2 linked regions of the Macaca fascicularis genome follow. The protein of the gene in region 1 purifies or fractionates together with the protein of each later gene. This does not show direct contact. Links are inferred from orthologs where the notes say so. Each region holds a gene or a part of one and is shown on either strand. Other genes may lie near its edges.

Evidence for each region. Proteins that work in one complex are often made in the same cells at the same time.
Region 2: the proteins of PINX1 (region 1) and TERT purify together in Homo sapiens (co-immunoprecipitation; 3 studies listed by BioGRID and IntAct, with this or other methods). This does not show direct contact. The link is inferred for Macaca fascicularis from reciprocal best matches to the Homo sapiens genes PINX1 and TERT.

Annotation. Positions count from the first base shown.
Region 1 is NC_088382.1:10,071,956-10,075,990, reverse strand, and holds the start of PINX1 (PIN2/TERF1-interacting telomerase inhibitor 1), read right to left. Parts: upstream 2,835-4,035; 5' UTR 2,698-2,834; coding exon 2,679-2,697; intron 1-2,678. UniProt on the Homo sapiens protein: Microtubule-binding protein essential for faithful chromosome segregation. Mediates TRF1 and TERT accumulation in nucleolus and enhances TRF1 binding to telomeres. Inhibits telomerase activity. May inhibit cell proliferation and act as tumor suppressor.
Region 2 is NC_088380.1:1,609,589-1,613,156, forward strand, and holds part of TERT (telomerase reverse transcriptase), read right to left. Parts: intron 505-3,568; coding exon 378-504; intron 1-377. UniProt on the Homo sapiens protein: Telomerase is a ribonucleoprotein enzyme essential for the replication of chromosome termini in most eukaryotes. Active in progenitor and cancer cells. Inactive, or very low activity, in normal somatic cells.

The DNA.
Region 1 (4,035 bases):
GGCCTGACTGCTATCCTTTGAAAGGCCTGTTTATAACAGGGAACCCAAGGGTTCCTACCATTCGCAGAACTGATAAGAGTGGCTCATTGTTCCTGTTTACACAAATGATATGGTTTATGCTGAATGCCTGCTTTCCTTCTAGGAGCCTGGAATTTTGGGGCCTGCCAGGTAGAGGGTGTCTATGTGCCCAGCCCCCAGGAAATCCCTGGCACTGAGTCTCTCTAGCTTCCCTGGTGGGCAACATTCCACATTTGCTGTCAGAACTCACTACTGGAGGAATTAAGCGTGTCATGTGTGACTCCCTGGGGGAGGGCTCTGGAAGCTTGATGCCTGCCTTACTCTGGACTTTGTCCCATGCATCTTTTCCTTCTGCCGGCTTTGTTCTGCATCCTTTTGCTATAATAATCTTAGCAGTGAGTGCGACTACATGCTGAGTCCTGTGCCTGAATCCCCCAGCACATCGCTGAATCTCGGGATGATCTTGAGGACCCTTGACACGATCTGGAATAGCAGTGTTTACAGCATGGCGCTGGACTTCAGGTAGAATGCCCTAAATCTGCAGAATCACTATTTGGGATGTATTTAACCATCCTCTAGCAGCTACTCCTATGTGGAGATCTAACTGTAAATGGATCTGTCGGGATACTTTTGGGCAAATCCAATAAAAACCATCCACACAACAGCTCAATGCCACATGACTTATGCTAGAATCCCATTTACTCTAAAGGGCGTGTTGAGTCCCAAGAGCCAGGAGCAAAAGTTTTAAACAATCTCTCAAAATTCAGAGGTTGATCAGAAGGAGCGAATTATTATACTAAATTTGGCCTGAGGAGGCCTCCGTACTTGAGTCCTTACGTAAGGAACTACAACCTACGTTAGAACTTAAGCGAAGCGAAAGCCTATCGTAGGAGTACACTCTTGTAACATATAACTGAGTCTCAATCCTTTACAGCAGCTGAGCATCAATCACAGGCAGCCAGCTGATTCAAATAAGGCAAATCAGAGCGGTAACCCTAACCAAGTTGTCTCGGTACCTCACTTACGTTTACTGTCCATAAATACTGCCTGACAGCATAGGCTTGGAGTTCTTATAACCTGTTCTAGTTCTGAAGGTTGCCTAGTTCTTGAATCATTCTTTGCTCAATCAAACTGTTTAATTTGTCTAAGGTTTTTCTTCTTAACAACACCAATCCTAAATATCTAATTACAGAAGATGCTATACCCATTTGGCAAATTATGGAGAAAAAAAAAACACAAAATGTTACATATTATAATGACAAGGATTTGACAATTTGGAATAACGTTGGGAAAGGAGAACTGAAAACACTCTCTTGAAATCATGCAATCTGAATTACGGATGTCTACAAATAGTATTTTACACCTCTACAGATTTTTCCTACTATGTTCATGTTCACCATCTCATTGATTTAAGGCCACCTGGAGATAAAGATAGTAAGAGAAGATTTTAGTGGCCTCACAAACACCGATCAAAGGAACAGACATAAATGAATAGCAGAATTAGGGCCAAAGTCGCCAAGTGCATGCTGAATTGAGCAAACATCAAATACGAAAACCAGAAGAGATCTTAGCTATCTAGGCTCTAACCCTGACTCCTGATTTTTTACTGGTGAAAAAATAGAACCCACGGGTTCAGTCTAAAACATACTCATTTCTATGGGTCTCCGCTGGTCTTACTGGCAAGAATATAAAGATACAGAGATAACTGGATCAATTTTGCCATTTTCTAGCTCAATGACTAGGGGCAAATTATTTTCCTTTGAACGTCAATTTCTGCCCCTGTAAAACCGGGATGATGACTGACCCATTTTGTTTTGTGCTCCTAGTCCTCCATCCTCTTAGAAAAGAGTGCTAACAGCATTTATTTCACAAAATCTCTGTGCTGGTCTGGTTGATCTGTTAAATAAGCTGTTTCTGTTCATTGCTCACTATACAACTCACAAGAAGGACCCGCTTTTCAGGATCAAAGCACGACTGCCATCTGGTGGCAAGCGACCTTAGCTGCAGGCACAATTCAGAAGTTCAGCAGCCTCTCCAGAGACAGGGGTTTCACCCGCTCCACAAAGTGAAGGTAAATGTCAAAGGTAAACAGGCAGGACCGGGCGCTGTGGCCAACAAGATCAAAAACGCCGATCTCATTTAGAATTACGCATTAGCCCTGCACTACTCCCCCGCTAAGTGGCTGACGTCCCATATTTGAGACTTCTAACTCCTTTGCTTTTCTTTTTCTGGGTCCAAGACATCTTGGACAATGTGATTACAGTTCGAAGTGATCCTTCTGCTCAACCTTCTCTTTTTAACCTGAGGAAGCTGAGGTCCGGGGGCAGTGAAGCAACCAGTCCGGGTCCCCACAAAGGGCGGCGGCGGGGCCAGTCGCGGGACCCGGTGTTCTGACCCACTTCGCGCGCGCCCCAGGGTGACTGTGAGGAAGGCGTCTCCGGGAGACACTCGCGGTCTTTCTCACTAGCAGACCCGCGGCCAACTTTCGGGGAGCTCTGCGGCGAGCAGGACAAGCAGAGCCAGGCTCGGCTCCCCGGTCCCCCGACCCCATGCGCCAGGCGCGCCTGGAACCCGCGCTCCCAGTCACTTGGGACTGCCGTGCGGGTCACCCAGCATCTTCACCGACGCGCCCGGGTCGGGCCTCTGCTTCTGACACTCACGCTCAGCCAGCATAGACATGTCGGAGAGCCTGTGATACCGCGGCCTCTGGACCTGGGTGACTGCGGCCACTGGGCGGGCAGGAAACTCCACGAGAATCAGGACCAGCGTAACTCCCTCGCAGGCTGACTGCTGCAGACGGGGCGCGTGCTGGTGACGTCAGTGGCGCGCGACTCGCTCCTCGAGCACGCGGCGGTGAGAGGGCGGAGCAGGGCGGGGCAACCTGGGGCGGTGACGGGACGACCAGAGGCTGAGGGGGCGGTGGCCGCCCGGCGGGAGGTGGAGAAAGGAGTACGTATTCGCTCATTGGCTGGAGGGAGTGTGCGTACTAAGTGATTGGATGTGAGTAAAGCCCGCCTGGGCGTGTCTGCCGCGGAGTACGCGCTCACGTGGGTTACCTGTAGGGTCTCCATTAGGAAGCCGTAGGTGCCGGCAAGGAGGGTAGTGGAAAGACGTGACCTGCCCTCAAGCAGCTCAGCCTCACGGGGAAAAGAAATGTGTAAAGAGCTGAAGTTAGGGTCATCAATGTTGTATGGACAAGGAGTTTGAAAAACTTGGCTGGAGGGGAGGACTTTGTACTGTATTGTCCCATCTCTTCTTCATACCCTACCTCTGCTTTCTGAGATAAACAGATGGATGATAGATGGATAGATGGGTGGATGGATGGATGGATGGATAGATAGATAGATAGATAGATAATTAGATACTAGATAGATAGATAGATAGATAGATATTAGATACCAGAAGATAGCTCTGCTATCTATCGGTTTTTGTGTGGGACCCGATGGATGGATGGAGGGATGGATGGAGGGAGGGAGGGAGGGAGGGAGGGAGGGATATGAGAGATAGATATTAGATACCAGAAGATAGATCTGCTATCTATTTATCGGTTTTTGTGTGGGACCCAAACTTAAACAGGTAACTAGTTCTGGGGAAAATGTTATCTCTTTAATTAATGGGATGCCTTCAACAAGGCAAAGATTTTATTTATTTTCTCCACCACAGTGCACACACTGGAACGTTGCCTTTATCATATCCATTTCTGTATTCGTACCAGCACCTCGCAAAATAATGTGAGTACGGTAAGGCTCCATAGATGTTTGCAACATTTAATTAAAGTGTCCCTGTCTCCAGGGGAGTTCTAATAAGATCCTAGCGATAACACTTTTAAGTATGGTAAACACATGTTTTTGGATGAGTGACTCTCCGGTAAACTTCAGGTGACAGTGCACACAGAAGCCTTTCCTACATAAAAGGAAGGTAAAAAGAGACAACTCAGACGCCAAGAAAAGCAATTGAAGATTCTCGTTTACAATGAAATTCTCCCTTTAGGAATCTGTACGAAAAAGGTAAACTCTA
Region 2 (3,568 bases), on another chromosome or scaffold:
TGCTGAGGACCTAGCAGGGTGAACATGAGGGGCCCTTGATACAGGTTATGTGCACACATGCTACTCACACCGCACACCCACACGCATGCACCTCACATGAATCCCACACGAATGCACATGAACACACATGCACATCAGGTATGCATTTGCATGTGCACATTCATACTTGTGCCCTTGCACACCTGTGCACACACTGCCATGCCTTCATGTACACACACACGTATGGCTCGCGTGCATCTGCGCACATGTGCACTCTTATGTGCAGCCAGTCACCGTCAGCCTTGCAGGCACGCACACACACACGTACACATGCGTGCACACAGTAACACACATGCCTCTCGAACTCTGAACTCTGTGCTGACCGTCAGCCTGCTCACCTGCAAATCCAGAAACAGGCTGTGACACTTCAGCCGCAAGACCCCAAAGAGTTTGCGACGCATGTTCCTCCCGGCCTTGAAGCCACGGTTGAAGGTGAGACTGGCTCTGATGGAGGTCCGGGCGTAGCTGAGACACAGGGGGGACGTCAGACACGGGTGCCTGCCCCACACCCAGCCCCCTCCTGCAAAGCTTGCTCCAAAGAGCCTCCTGCCTTCCTCCTGCTTCCTTGTCCTGCCTGGGGCACGCGCTGTAGCCTGAGGGAGTCGGGTGCTCTCTCCGTGGACTCAAAACGCTACACGCCATCCGGACCCTGCATGGCCAGACTCCACCAGGACGTGGCTAGTGATGTTGAGTGTATCCAAGCCTTGCACGGCCGTGTGTGTGCACTCATCATCTGCCCTGATGAGATCTGCACATAACTCGGCCAAAAATACATAATAAACTATGGAGCCCTGACTCCCAGGCGTCCCTCGAGCGGACACGGGTGTGACTCAGCTTCTCTGTGGGAGAACACTGAGTCGGGCATGGGGAATCTCACTGTGTTTGAATCTCATGGATGGAAGAGCCAGGTGGCGCCAGCTAAAGAGGGCTCCAGTGAGTGCACGTGGCACACACAGGGTATCTCCAGAGGGGCAGGATGGAGGCATCCCACCGACGTCCTCTAGGGCCCTGCCACCACTCACTGCCCGTGTACATCCGTGTCCAAAGACGAACACACGTGACATCCACAGCGGGCTCCCTGGGCTGCGTTCTTTTACATCCAGCTTTGAACACTGCTACATTGAAATAAACGTTTTGTGCCATTAAACATTCTTCAAAAATTCTTTGAAAACATGTCTAACAGCAGAGTTAAGTTTTGTGATACATAGTATCTGCTTAGCCCTGGATTTGGGCGGGTTGGCGACTTGCTGTGGCAATCCCCCCCTCCCCCATACCTGGAGCACTGGAAATGGGAAATAAGACCCGTGATAATGTCTGGTCACTTCAGAAGTGGAATTACTGGGAAAACACAGGACATTGTAAGGACTTCCATGCAAACAAGCTGCTTTCCAGAAAAGTCTTTCCAACTTGCCTCACCCTGATGCTGGCTCTTGGGAAGCCCAGAAAAGGAGCCAGCACAAAGGACGGGTCTCGCTGTCAGTTTCACACGCATTTCTTTGATGCTGCTGGTAGAACCTTCCCAAGTGTGCATCAGATGTCCATTTCTTCCTTCACAGTTGTCACCAACACAACCTTGGGCTCCGGCTAGCCCCGAGCCTGTGGGTCTGACCTGTGTGGGGTCCTCAGGCGGAGCAAGGGCCCCAGAGCAGCAGGCCAGGCTGCAATCACACACGCCCCTTGCCAGCTGGGTGCTACCCTGGAGGCCTTCTTCATCTACCTCTCAGGTGGTTAGGAGAACAAAGTGAGAGGATGAATGTGCAGGACCTCACAGAGTGCCTTAAATAAATCATGTGCACAAATGCTCCAGGGAACAGCCATTTTCACTGCGGCTCAGGCAAGCTGAGTTCCTCTGCGTGAAAGCAATAGCTGTTGCCTCACTGGTTTCATCTACCTCCCTCCGTGTCCTTCCCCAACACCAAATCAGGGAACGTTCACCTCCCTTCCCTTTGAGTCTTCCGTTTTGTTTCTGTTGCTGCTGTTGTTTGCACGTCATTCCTCTTCTACCTAGAATCTGCTCTGGTACATGTTGTAAAGACACAACTTATTTGCTTCCAGTCAGTTTTCTCAGAAAACAAAATTAAACACACACTCTCTTTTCCGTCAGCTGTGCCACATGCCACATTTAACACACGTTTCTGAGAGGTAGGGCTTCCGTTTTGTTCTATTGTACTGTCCATCACTTCTCACCACATTCTGCCATCTAAGCTGTGGTTTGGGAGACTAAAATCTGGACAAGAAAATTCCCATCTTAACACTCTTCCTTTTTCACTTTTCTTAATCATCTTGCCTGTTTTCTTCTCCCAGATGCCCTTCAAGCCTTTGTATGCTTCAGACACAGAGGACGTGTGTTCACCCCGAGTGCGGCGAACCACTGCCTCTACTGCTGAGCTTTTACAACCACCTCTGCAAGCAGGCACTCTGACCAAGTGGCCTTTGGGAGCACAGAATATTCTGGCATTGAACCCACATCTGACGACCTGATGCCCACCCATCCTGCACTAGCCTTTGTGGCTTTGCAATGTGTTCAGAGAGAACCCATTTTCCTGATTCGTTTGTCTGTCTGCTTTGTCCTTCAGTAACATTCACTGATGCTGTGCCATAGGCCGGAACCAGGGGTGCCTGTCCTAAAAAATACATTTCATGGGGAGCAAAATAAACAGTGGACAGTTCACGGCTGATGGTATGGCCAGTGCTGCAGAGGCGCCTAGGGAGAGGCAAGGAGGTGCCGGGAGCCCAGGAAATCTGCAAATCACCCAGACAAAGCCAGCAGAGGCCAGGATCAGGTGAGGCTGGGAGGGGGAAACAGGGACTGTGGGGAGCACAGGGGACCGGTGTCCTGGTGGGGAGGGAGCTGCAGCAGGGATGTGCTGGGCACCATGCACGAGGGCATCTACACCTGCCACTCCCCCAACATGAGGGTGTCCGCACCTGCTGCTTCCCTGTTAAGCAAACCCCAGGGAGCATTCTGGAAAGAGGCAAAGTCCAGATCCGGACTGTTAACTCAGAATGACAGGACCCCAGTTTAAACCACTGGTTTAACAATCATCCAGTAAGGGATTTAAAAATCCCTTATTTCTCTTCCCATGAAGCCGTGCCTTTTAGAGGAAGGCACCCCCAGTTCCGGCCTCTAGCACAGCACCAGTGGATATTATTGAAGGACAGAATAAAAAGCACCTGTCCACCATGGTTTTGGAATGCTGATACTTTTTGCCTTTTTTTAAGGTGAAGTCTCGCTCTGTTGCCCAGGCTGGAGTACAGTGGTGTGATCTCAGCTCACTGCAACCTCTCCTGATTCTCAATGATTCTCAACCTCTCCTGAGCCTCAGTGATTCTCCTGCCTCAGCCTCCCGCATAGCTGAGACTACAGGCGTGCGCCACCATGCCAGGCTAATTTTTGTACTTTTTAAGTAGAAACGGAGTTTCACTATGTTGGCTAGGTTGGTCTCAAACTCCTGGCCTCAAGTGATCCACCCATCTCGGCCTCCCAAAATGCTGGGATTACAGGTGTGAGCCACCGCGCCTAGCCTGG